2 linked regions of the Schizosaccharomyces pombe genome follow. Changing the gene in region 2 together with the main gene of any one other region gives a genetic interaction. Each region holds a gene or a part of one and is shown on either strand. Other genes may lie near its edges.

Region 1 (5,885 bases), on a different chromosome or scaffold from region 2:
GACGGTCTTCGCTCTTTATTCAGCAAAGAACGTATGGAATAGAAAGAATTTGTACTAAATGTGTCACCATAAGTGCGAAGCTTTAGGGTTTTTACATTATAAGACAAGTTAGATTTTTGTTTTAAAGGTGGCATTTAGAATATAGACAGATGAAGTTAAAGGGCGCAGCTCGTTTTCCTTGGCACTTTTTTACACTCATCTCAGTACTTGTATTATCTTCTCAAAGCAGCTTGGTAGTACAATTTTCTTGGATATTATCCCTATCTGATAAAATAAAGTTTCGCTAATAATTAAGCGAAGACTTACAACTTTGACGAAGCAGCACACAGAACTAAACCAGTAGATCATAGTGACTATAAAAGCAAATCTACTTAAAGAGGCTGAGAAATTGCCATCGTGAGTTTATTTATTTTCAGCTATATTCTTCAATGTAAATTTAAGTATTTATTGAGAAAAATTTAAGAAAGTTAAGTTGTTCGTTATAACGTACAGCAGCTACGAAAGGATATTTATACTACTGTCTCGCAAATAAACATTCTAGCAACTCATTAACATCATAACTTGTGTTGGAATAGTAGACAACTATGATGAATAAAATAAAATAAAAAGGGCAAGTTAGAAATCAGAAATTTATGCTTAATGTTTCATTTGGATTTTCGTTATTTCCAATGTATTCTGAATATACTCATACTTAAACACATATTGTTATATGTTATATTTGTTACATCAGGGGGATCGATATATCATATACTCCACAGTATAGCTAATTTATTTGTAACCCTTTTTGAAGAAATATTTATTTGGTATTGAGAATTAAATTAAATTTAAAGATTTACTATATCATAGCCTATTTACTCAATCTGTTCAAATGTTGCTTTCGCAAACATATTTTTATCAGTCACAATATAATGAAATACACATTTGATTTAAAACAATTTCAAAAAAAAAAAAAGGATGTTGATTAGAATGAAAGAAAAAAAATAAGATTTATATATTTTCAAAACAAAAAAGGTGTAGATATCAATAATAAGAAGACTTAAAATTCTAATAGATCTCGTAACGATCAGTTATTTTAAATTTATAAAATTAAACCACAGTGTATTGTTTTAGAATATATGAATTTAATACTTTCGCTCAACGATTTCTTGATCGATCAACTAAATATGTAATAATATTAATTAAAAAAAAATAAAAAAAATTTGAGATTTTTTCTTTCCTCTTGCTATGAATCACGAAATTTTCTGTATGAACAGAATAGCAATCAACTGGCTTCTCAGACACTTCATAAAACTCGAAATTGTGTCTTCAGGGTTATCGGAATAAATATTATGATTCATAAGCTCTATTGTTAGCTTAAAATTGAATTTGTTATTAATCTAACATATTTGTAAATGGGTTTATGAAGTATTTGAATTTGAGATCTTATTATTACGAATTTAAAATCCAAAGATAATTAAGAAATTAATCAATGGCTTATAAAGTATAGAAAATTAAAGACTAAATTATCAAAGCATTTTTATTTTTAATTTTTTTTAGCGCTCTCATTTAAGACAAACTTTTACTAATACTCCAATTATGAATGATGGTTATTTTGCATACTTATTAAATGATGTACATATTTTTATAAATTAATAAGTCTAATAGAAGATAATTAATTACCTCTTTCCATCTCTTGGTCTTCCTTATTGAGCTAGCACATTACCTCATTCTCTTCAACTACGATTTACTAACTACTCAGGTTGAAAGGGTTTTTTGAACATTGTTCGTAAAAGGAAATTTTAAAAATATTTTGAGACAGCATTTTTGTGTTTCTCAATTATTAAGATTAATAATAAGCATCACGAAACTTTGAGGTGTTAGCTTACATTAACAATTCTGGGGTTCTAATCCTTATAATAATTTGGGCTGGCCTATATCAAATTGTCTAATTTGAAGATTTAAATTCTTTAAATAATTTTATTTTTACTTTCTCCCTCGTTTTAAGTATGAAAATTGTTGTTTTAGGTGGTTCAGGCTTTTTAGGGCATAATATTTGCAAATTAGCCATTGCTAAGGGTTACGAGGTGGTTTCAGTATCCCGAAGAGGAGCTGGAGGATTGCATAACAAAGAACCATGGATGGATGATGTTGAATGGGAGACGTTGGATGCTCAAAAAGATCCAAATTCATTACTTCCTGTTCTTCGTGATGCCTCGGCAGTGGTGAACAGTGTTGGTATCCTTATGGAAAATAACTATAAAAAGATTTTACAGAATCCCAGAGGACCAGTTTCGCATTTAATCAATAGTCTTAGCTCTAACATGTTTAAAACTGGCCAAAACCCTTTAGCACCTAAACCTGAAGAAGCAAAGCAATCTAAAAATAAAGTTACATTTGAAGCAATCAATCGAGATTTAGCTATTGAAACAGCTAAGATTGCCGCCAAAGCTAATGTCCCTGTGTATTGCTATGTGTCTGCTCATGCAGCGGCTCCCGGGTTGGATCCCCGCTACATAAAAACGAAACGTGAAGCTGAAAGGGAAATATCTAAAATTTCAAACCTTCGTTCTATATTTCTCCGTCCTGGTTTTATGTATAACTTTAATGATCGTCCTTTCACAGGCGCCCTTGCGTCTCTTTTTACTGTCTCATCCAGCATCAATCGAGCAACCTCTGGTGCTTTAAATTTCCTCGGAACCGCTTCGGCTGAACCCCTTCCTTCTGAGGAAGTTGCTTTGGCTGCTTTGGAGGCTATTTCTGATCCCAGTGTCAAGGGTCCTGTGGAAATTTCCGAATTAAAATCTATGGCTCATAAGTTTAAGCAAAAATCTCTATGATTCTCTTGTTAAAAGTAAATTACACATCATAAGTTTATGAAAATGAATGATTGGGTTATGTGTAATGAATTTTGACCAGTCTTAATTATATCTACCTGAATACGTCTTTATACTTTCAAGTTAAAATATGATTGCTAAACAAAGAGAAAAAGTATCGTCTAATTTAAATTCTCTGCTCAATATTTACATCATTTGAACTACTGTTATCTAAGTCGTAGAATCTTTTCCAACTATAATTGCCAAATTTGCTTCCTGACTGTATTTATTAACTAGAAAATTAAAACAAGTTATTTCAAAAAATTAGAAAGAAAGCTCTTTTCCCATGTTAACTCGAGCTATATTTGCTTCGATATATCAGCTGTTGTAGTAACCATACATTTTACCTTATTATACACCTCGCACTACCTATATCAAACGCACGCATTCGAAAGGTCCTCGGTGAATTAAAGAATTAAGAAGATAGAGAAGTTCATAATCCTTTTAATTTACTTATTCAAATTGGACTTACAGTCGTAAATTATTTATGGAGCTGGGTGCTTGGAGATCTATTCTCTATATTGCGTTCCTGTTCGCGATTACGCGCCATGCCTTTTGTAAAGCAGTTAACTTGGTGCATTCACCAGAAGGAGAAGAGTTCGAAAATATTTTGAGCTCTGTTTCTGCTACAGTTGAGAAGAAAGAAGTCAACAATAAATTAATAATGCCGACAGCTAATCGCGACAACCAAGGAGTAAGAGAAGAACTTTTAGTTTCTAGTTTTAAAGAAAGAAAGCTGTTGAACACCAATTCAGCCAATTTGCGGCTAAATAGTATTGGCTCATACGAAATGATCGACTTCAAACAGATTAATTCCGAATTTTTCTTGTCTCATCGTCAACATGGGTTTGTATTATTTATCGATTCTAAAAAAAAACCACGACAATCATTTTACACCGACTCGGCTACTTCTATTGTGCAATTGTCCAAAAAATATAGGAACAAAATAAAATTCAAGAGCGTGGATTGTGCCTCATCTTTAGAAAAATGCGAAGAAATTGGGATCAATTCTTTTCCTTCTCTTGTTTATTATAACAATGCCGGGCAAAAAAAAGTTTTTACGGCTCATACTCCTTACGAAGTGTTATCAAAGCACGCTGATCTAATAACTGAGCTAGACGAAACAGACGGAAAGGTTTATCCGCAAAGCATAATTCGTTTAGAAGAGTTCAAAAATCTAAAAGCTAATGAGCCTGTTTTTTTCTTATACTTGCACGATTATGGATCTACTCCTGAAGATTTCGACTCCTTACGCATTTTTGCTAGATATTTGGTAGGATTTGCTCCTCTCTATCGCACGGATGACGAAAAAGTAATTAAGACATTAAATGTCACACGTCTTCCACACTTAGTCGCCATACGCCATGGCGTTGCTTTCTCCTACTCTGAACGCTCTGTTTCAGCGATGCGAAACACTTTTCAACTCATCAAATGGGCATCTTTGCTAAAATATCCTCTCGTTCCCGAATTAACCCCAGCTGTTGTTGAAAACTTGGACTCTGATTCATATTTAGCTATTGCTCTAATCAATCCCACGAGCCAAGTCAAGGCATCTAAGGCTATTTCTACAGTTCAGGAGATTGGCCTCAAGTGGACATTGAAGCTTCGCGAAGTGGAAAGGAAGCAATTACTTACTGCTCGTGAAAAATGGTGGGATCATCTACGGATGTTAAAACAAAAAGGTTACGACGACGTAGCTTTTTTAGCCGCCGAATATTCATTACCCCTTCCTAAGAATAAGAAGGTTACATTTGTATGGGTTAATTCCTTACAGTGGAAAACCTGGATTTCTCATACGTTTCATATAGACCCAATGGGTCCTTCTCGATTCGTCTTGATGGATCCCTCTCGCATGTTTTATTGGGATTCCTCGGCTAAAGGGTTACCTCTCACACTCGATGATTCATCCCTAATTCTCGACACCACTTTTCGGGTATTAGCAATAACAGGAGAGGGCCTACCTCACGAATTTTCTATACCTAGAGGATATGTATACCTAAGTGAAATTAAACAGTACTCATCTTTAATTTTAATTTCGTTGTGGATTAGTCTAATTTTGTTTGTGTCTTTCTTAAACCGGCGGCTTATTCTTCATTATTCTTTCGAATCTGTTCATCAGTTAAAAACGTTAACGAGAAAATTCATTTATAGCTCTTTGTTAAAGCAAGATTAAAGGTATTGATTCTTTGTTATAGGATTTACTAGTTCATTACTATTCCTACAAGCTTCTCTAAACGTCAAATTTTAACAACTATCTATTTTATTTAGAGATGCATTTTTGATCTCTTATTATTCCTTTCTTTGTTATTGCGAATTTCTTAATTAATAATCATTAATACTTGCTGGAAATTCACAAAATCTTCTTTTTAAATTTTCATGTGCTCATGTTGCTTAGAATTCTTTCAAATGTCCTTTGCGTTGTCTGTGACTCTTTATTTTTCAAGCTCAAACATGTTAATTAGAAACTATTGCTTCTAATTTGCCTGTTAAAAAAATTTGTCAGCCTTTCCCTATGGCACTAAATAGTTAGAAACTACTACTTTTCTGTATATATACTAAAATGAGATATATATTTAAACATATTAAGAGATTTCTTGCTATAAATGTCGAAAATATATTAATCTTGACAGATCTTGGATTTTTAGATTAACCTTTTACATGTAAAAGTAAGGTAAAGTAACTCATCCTTAGCATTCATGAGTTCTCTTGGAAAACTTCTGAAACTTACCCTTTTGGGGATATTACTCTCTTTTTCTTGTAAATTCGTATTCGGTTATTTTAATGTAAATCAATTATTTGATCATGAATTCATTAAAGTTTTTCCCAATTTCAAAGGAAACGTTGAAGCAAAAATTAAATATCCGACCGTAGTATATGCTATTGGGGATATTCATGGAGACTTTCCAAATGCTTTAGATGTACTATCTGCAGCAGGCGTTGTATCTCCTGTTTTTCCTCATGAATGGACTGCTGGTAATGCTACACTGGTTCAAACCGGAGATGTCGTCGATCGCGGCCCAGATACACGGAAAC
Region 2 (7,779 bases):
GTATCAACTCGGCGAAACTTCGTGCTTCTCGATCATTTTTTCGATTTCCGAAGTGGTCTAGGAAGTCCTGGAATCCCGATGTTAACTCAACTACTAGTTCTCCTTCTGAAGTTGGTTCTCTCGATAAAGCTGGTGGCCCTCTAAACCAGCAAAATGAGAATTTGTCAGCGGAATCTGATAATACGATTTTACAGAATGGTACTCGGAAAAGTAGTGTCAAAATGTCCGACCTGGGGAAACGCATTGCTTCTTTACCTGTAGTAAAAAGACCTCCTATCCAGTTTTCCATATCTTCTGATTACATTAAGCCAGTTGATAAAAGCGATCAGACTTCTAACGTTCCATCACCTTCTTCTTCTGTGGGTTCCCTCCGGTTGTATCGTTCGCCTTCTATTCCTAATGATGTTGAACAACCACAGCCACAAAGCTCTCGGTCACGGCCTCGTAGTTCTACGATTCCTACCCAAAGGACTTTAGAAAGATTGAGAGAAAACCGTTCTAGTATTTTTAGTTTTCGAACTTTGCGCCGGGATGATGACGAATGCGTAGCTCAGACTATTGAAAATTCGGCTTTATTTTCTGATATTAAGCCTAATCCGACCAAGTTTCTTTCTTCTGTTCCGGAGCTCACAGCAGATGATACTGCGGAGAGTTATCTCTCAAAGCTTAGAGAGACAGTTCCTTATAGTCGTATGATCCCTGTTCTAGCAGAAAAGGATCATGTAACATTGAACAAAGCTCTGCACCTTTGTATGTCGGGAATGGAGTTTGAAAATCGGCCGTTGGATTTTTGCTTGCGGTTATTTTTACTTAAATCTCACCTTCCTAAGGAAACTCAACAGATTGATCGTGTCATCAATGCATTCTCTAAGCGCTATTTTGAATGTAACCCTGGGATGTTCAGTTCCCAAGATCAGTGTTACATTCTGGTGTTTTCTTTGATGATGCTCCACACTGACGTTTTTAATTCAAATAATAAGCATAAAATGACGAAGCAGGAATTCATAAATCTCTGTGACATAGATGAATTAGCTCCGGAGATAATGGAGTATTATTATGACAATATTACCTTTACTCCTTTTGTCAACCTGGATGATGAGTTGCTTCTCATTGAGAAGGAAAAGAACGAAAAGTACAATTTCACATCTCGTAAAAGGTTAGGGCTTTCTCCTTACACATTTACGTTAGAAAATCAATTGAATATTTCACGGCCTGAAATATCTCTCTCTTATGATGGAAAATTCATATCTCCAGGTATCAAAGATATTGCGTCTTTGCTGAACGTTAGAAAGTTGATTTCCAGCCCTGCGATAATTCAGCTTGTTTCTAAAAGATCTCATCCAATGGCATTCTCCAATCATTTTATTGGATTACCAGACAATGCTGACCCGGGACTAGTTGATTTTAGTATCAGTATGCTGGGCATTTTACCACGGTGTGAAAAGAAGCGAAGAAGTGTGGGGCACAATTCATACAAAGAGCATTTGGTTTTGTTGACCGCTTCTAGAATACTTTTTTTTCGTAATTTGGTATGGGCTAAAGATCTCATGGCTCAAAAGAAAGCTTATGAAAGGCGTTACAAAAATTTTACAACTACCTCGAGCAGTTTTGACACGTTGCAAGGTATAGATACAGAGGCTATGGAATATGAATTTCCAAAAATTCCTCCGCTTGTATTTACTCCACCTCTAGAAGAGTTTTCCCCCGATACCAGTTATTCGCTTGTTAATGCGTTTGCCTATTGTGACAGAGATAAGAAGAATGTACGCAATTGTTCTTTTACCGTCATATTTCGGGATGGATCTGAAGAGACTCTTTGTGCTCCAACAGAAGAAAGCATGATAGAATGGGTAGCTAAAATTAACTACATCTCAACACTTCGTACAGCTGGTCTGCGAATGCCTGTAAGTGATTCTTACCATCCTAAAAGAGACTTTTCTTGCTATCCAAAGTATATGGAGGAAGAATTAGCAGCAATTGAAGCTCAAATGAAACAGGATATGGAAATTGCACGTGCCCGGACAATTAAGACACGTATTGACCAACTTGAAACATCTATTACTGAGTTCAATAAGAAACTCATGGTATTACAAAGAAATGCCAAAAATTTATCGACATGTGCACCCCTACAGCCGAAAACAAGAGTAGTTATTTTACAAGCCCTTAAAAAGGTCGATGCTAAAGCGCAATCATTATATTTGGAAATCAGAAAAATGGAGTCACAATTGCAAGTATTGCGGTTTGAATCTGATTTAGATAAATGCATTTCTCTTGAAAGTTCTAATGACATCGACGACAGACCTTCTTCGACAAGCCCAAGCACCCTAAAAAATCCGAGCATCAACTCAATCAATCGTCAAACACATGATGTTGAAAAAGAATCATCAGATAGAGATGTACCGCATCTTTTGGATCCTGATAATAATTTCAACTTGAAAGGCAACCCCGAAAACCCCTCATCGACATTTTTTACTCCTGAAATACTTTCACCAAAGGTTTACTCGGACAATGTTAAAGATGAGCCTGTCGAAGATATTTTTGGTTTTGAAGATACAAGCGAAAGCTCGCCCGGTAAACCCAGCCAATTGAGGCTTCAAATTGAAGCCTTTGATGATGAATTAGCTGACACAGCTAGCTTAGGTTCCGTGACTACATGTTTAGATCAATGGCAAACATTTTCGGACGATACAGATAGCGGGTTTGCTTTGAACCTGTACTCATCAGAAGATTTTCGCACGGATCCATATAAGGAACATGATGAGTTTAGTATGAATAGCCTATCGAAATGGCATTCTGCTACTTCTGATAATTAGCATGTATATCAAATGTTAACTACTATTATCTAAATATTTGTTCATCTAAAGTGATTTCTCTTTTTTTTTTTGATTTTTCTTATTTGAATTCATATCCGCGTATAGACAAGGATTCCCGCTTTATTTATTAATTATCTCTAAATCCATAATAATAAATTTTATCTCTCTTAGCCGTTCGAAAGTACACATTGCTGTAGTTACGATGCTTTAAGAACATTAATTGAAGAGCGTAACATTTGGTAGCGATTTTGATGTATTATGGCAATTCTTAAATATGTGGAAAAATTTAAGCGTTTATGTTAATTATATATTTTATCCGTCGAGCTACTTGGATTATGAGATGATCCACAAAACAGAAGACTAAAGGAATAGGTGGATAATGAATAAACATGAGTCTAATTAACTTCTAATAACAATTTTTAGTTCATTGATAAATGTCGTACTACATTTCGAAATAATTCTGCACCGCATGTAGAAAGACGAAAAAGAGTATAAACTATTTTTCTTTGCTTTTCAGCGAATACGAGTTATAAAAATTTTTTTGTTTTCGTATATTAATACCCAAAAATTAAATAATGCTGCAAACAATCAATAGCATAGTAAGTTATAAATTGAAAATAATGAAAAAGCACCAAACATAATATAAATACCATAACCGGAAATTAGTGGAATTAGGAAACAAGTCTACCATTAGATGTACTATTAATACGTTGCACCCGGCATTTCTTTTCCAGCATTTTTAAACCTAAAAATGGTGAGTATGCGATGCAAATTGTTAACTTACTTTTTCCGTTCATAAAACCAATCCGTCCGACTGGAACCAAGATTTATAACACGAGGGCAACCATCACGATCATATTCCATACGTGTGCATTCCGAACAATAATAACAATCAGAAACACCTGGAGCTCCACAAATAATGCATCGGTCTTGTGAGCTACCAAACGCGCATTCATCACATATTCTCACCAACGTTGTCGGCCTTACATGAGAATCACAAATAGGGCATTTTTCGTCACATCGTTCACATACTGTATATTCATGAGTATTAGAATCTGCCAATTATTTAACTATGCCAAATTATAGAACACTTTACACTTACACTTTCCAACAGTAATTCCTGGTTGTCTTCTGCATAATACTAAATCAGGATGATCTAATAAACGTTAGTATTTAATTTCATTTTTATTTCCATACGCTTTGACATTGTGAATATACTCAGAGGATTAATTTCAATGCAGCAGATATATATAGTAAATTTACGACGGTCCTTCGCGTTACGTTATGCTTAGTAAAATATAAACATCCTCTTCTGATTTCAAATTTCGTACTCGCTATTATGGATACGTTAAGCTGCAATACAGCCATGCAATGGCATAAACAAGTCGGAAAATGCGCGTTAGCAGTTGAAGTGCTATTATAAACAACGTATTAATAATGCTTGCAAGTATGTACCAAATATACTCTCCATTAAGCTGAGGATCTTTTTTTGTTGCGCCATATTTACGGAATTTTTGAACAATAAAGTAAAATAGAAATAAAATCTACTATTAACATTTATGAATTTATGATCAATGGACATACAGTAGTCGATGTTTACTGATGTATTGATGAAATTCAATTTTCATGGTAATCTTGTAGAATAAATAATTCTTTGTAGTAAAACAAATAAATGACGAAAATAAAGTGTTAAATACTTCTAATTAGGTACGCGATAACCAAAATTTAGATTCTTAAGTTTCAGCGTATAAACAAAAGGCACAATTACAATCGTTTTCCCTAACAGGCCAATTTACAGATAATCAACCATTGTAAATTGCAGTGTTTTGATAATATCTTCAAATTTATTCATAGTCATAAATATGATGCTAATGTATTCCAATCCTATACTTGACAATTTTGAAATTGACAGCAGAACTCGCAATGAAGATAAATTAAAACGACTATAGCTCCGATCATCCGAAAAAATAACAAGACTAATCGCAAGACTATTTTTTTTATTCATACATAAATAAAACAGGCATCACCCAATCCAGCAATCATTTCATTAACAACCTTTGGAGACTTTTTCAATGTGACACACAATTCATCAAAATGGTGCTTTCCATCCAGCAAACCAAGCAGTTTTTTCTCTTCTTCGGTTAAGTTATTCCTCATAGTCCTTCGTTCTAAGTATGGGTATTTATGCACACGATATATTAGCCCTTTTATAGTACCGAACGAGATTAGCCTTCGAACGTCTAAACCTTTGAAAATTTCTTTGTTCTCGTTCATCCAATCCTTAACACGAAGTCCTTGCCTTAAACTACAATACAGTTTGAAAATAGTAGCAAAAGTAACGTTTTTCGCATTAGAGCTGTTAGTTGATACATATGCCGTACATTCTCTTTGAAAATCTGGGTCTTGTAAAAGGTTAGGAGCATTAGTAGTCATAGCATAAATATTATGGAATTGAAAAATATCAGCTATAATTAGACAACCGTAATATAGAAAGTGTTCCATGCATTTTTGACAACTTCTATAGCTAACATTAGCTAATTCAGCAATCCTTTGAACTGAGTTTATGCCATTAATAAAAGGATAAACCTAAAAAATTAGTCAATTTTAATTTTTTTGGAAGAGAGTACCTTTTGAACAGTCATATCCCAATTTTTGTCCATGAGTAAATCCAACTGAGCCGTTAAAATTGGTACATGAAAACTTTTAACAGTAGGAGGAGAAGGAAAAACGGGAAAAAGCTTGATATTAATAGAATTTTGGTCGTCTTAGAAAGTTAGTTAAAGTCCGAATGAAATAATTGCGCATACCTAGCTGTATCATACACTCACAAAAGTTGTTCATGTCCTCCAAAATTTGCTCAATTACGCTGAAAATTACAGGTCTTTTGTTCAAATCAGATATATAATGAATTTGCTTTTCTAAGACCTCTAAATTTCTCGCTAGTCGCTTTACTAGTGGTATATAACATGCTGAATCTTCTTCTTCATGAAAAATCATACACATGTTGAAAATCAAAGCATTTCTCTCATAATTGCTACCTATAATTGATATTGGATGTCCAATGACTTGATAATGATTAGTACAAACAGTAATTGTTTTGTTGCAAAGTTCGCGTTTCGGAATCACATAGTCAGAAATAGTTTCGAATGGTAAAAGACAGTTCTTTCCACCATCAACATTTGTTACCGATCCAGCAGGAGCTTCACAAGCTACTATAGGGCCTTGTAAGGGATCAAATAATGCAAAAAATATTGCCAATAAACGAGGCGGAAAGCTGTCAGCTTGATCCATCCATCCCTCTTCAGAATACTCCATAGGAAAGCTAAAGAATTTAAAAATTTCCGAGTTTTTTATCTAACCTTTAATTTATGAAGCTAAAACTTGTAAGATATTTATTTTAATATTTCGTTATGCCCCTACTGGTGGATGCAAAAGCTTATGTGCAAGTGTCGATTTGGGGACTAACTTCAAAAACCATATAAATCTTTGTACGCTACCCAGAAAAGTAGTTGTGCTAATGAATTTATTATTTACAAACAATATTCAGATTTCTGCATTGATGTAACGGTAAGATGGAAAGTCATATAACACTTGTGTACATTGGGTCAGTAAATTATACAAATTTGATTCTTAACGTCAAAGCTTCCTGACTACAGCCACATTTCGCTACATCATTAATGTTAATAAGGTGATAAAAATCATATCTGTATTAACATTAAGGATTATTTCGTATGGATAACAGATGCTAGCAGCCTCTAGGGTTAAAAGATTTTAAAAAAGTATAAAACTTGATTTTCTTAATCTTTTTGCTTGATAACTGCGCTAGTAATATCCAGTATACACAGTAATCATATAAAAATAGTTAATCTTTGAAACGATAGTTAATAGACTTCAGTCGGATAAATCAAATTTTTACTGAACAGGAAGTTTTAATAAAAGTATTTGTGTTATTTTTACGCTAGAATTCAAATACTAAAACTAAATTTGTGTAAAGCAGTATTATTACAACTTCTGCTTAATTCTTAACGTAAGCTTTCGCTTAACTTAAACCTAAATAAAAAGATCACAAAACCGCTAGATAATTGTAAAACCTTTTATCCATTCACTGAGTCAATTATTTGTCCATATATAAATCTAGAGAGAGAGAATTGTTTTGTTACTATAATTGATTTCCTATCTTTTCAAACATTTGAAGATATAAATCGCTAGTTTCCACAGAAAATTAAAATAATGAGGCACCAAGCCATATTGACTGTATAAAAGATAAATTAAGGAGATACAGTGGAAAATTGTGATTGAGCCAGTGAATTTTTTCGCTGTTAGAAAGCAACGAAAAATACGTCAAATCATTGAAACTTCAATTAGGCATAAGTGCATGAAAGCTCGATAATTGTTCGAGTTGTTTAGCTTAAAACGAATAGATTAAAGTGCGAAAAGAGCGGATGCGTTTAATTTTTAGGATATTTGGTTTCTTTTAATGAGCTTTAGTTCATTCTTACTATATCGTTTTGTAAATAAACAGGTTCTGCCTGGTTTTCTCCTTCCTATTTTTTATAAGCAATATATCCTTAGAGTTTTCATAAACTTGACAACTTAACAAAATTAGTTGCTTGAAGTTTGAAGGGCCTCCGTTAATGGCTTTTTTTTTGTTTTTAATTTGATACGCTTCACTTTCAAGTTGATCATTATAACGTACCTCAGTGAGATAAAGACTGACGAGTCATCCAGCTCTAGCTAAGTATACTCGAGATATTTTATTGCAATATCTAATAATCATTTAAACAAAACTTGAATAATTCTGTTAAAATCGCAATTCATAAAACTGTTATGTAATTGTCATCGCTTATACATTAGCTTGTGATATTTACGTGTTTATCCGAGTGCACTATACATTAAAGGCACTACCACACCCGGCCAAATTGAATGTTTTGGGATTTTAAACATCGAATTGAACAGTCTGTTACAA

The links. A genetic interaction does not mean that the proteins touch.
Region 1: mutations in ini1 (region 2) and coq11 together harm fitness more than expected from each alone (negative genetic interaction), as found in Schizosaccharomyces pombe (one large-scale study listed by BioGRID).

The regions. Positions count from the first base shown.
Region 1 is NC_003421.2:2,271,299-2,277,183, reverse strand, and holds coq11 (ubiquinone biosynthesis protein Coq11), read left to right. Parts: upstream 1-1,714; 5' UTR 1,715-1,985; coding exon 1,986-2,816; 3' UTR 2,817-3,017; downstream 3,018-5,885. Other genes in the region: pdi5 (protein disulfide isomerase), read left to right, coding at 3,340-5,025; SPOM_SPCC1840.07C (phosphoprotein phosphatase), read left to right, coding at 5,549-5,885. UniProt on the Schizosaccharomyces pombe protein: Acts in the coenzyme Q biosynthetic pathway.
Region 2 is NC_003424.3:2,491,299-2,499,077, forward strand, and holds ini1 (RING finger-like protein Ini1), read right to left. Parts: upstream 4,034-7,779; 5' UTR 4,021-4,033; coding exon 4,011-4,020; intron 3,970-4,010; coding exon 3,916-3,969; exon of another isoform or gene 3,845-3,915; coding exon 3,598-3,844; exon of another isoform or gene 3,559-3,597; coding exon 3,516-3,558; 3' UTR 3,104-3,515; downstream 1-3,103. Other genes in the region: guanyl-nucleotide exchange factor Sec73, read left to right, coding at 1-2,813; Npr2/3 complex subunit Npr2, read right to left, coding at 4,815-5,399, 5,441-5,577, 5,621-6,128. UniProt on the Schizosaccharomyces pombe protein: Required for pre-mRNA splicing.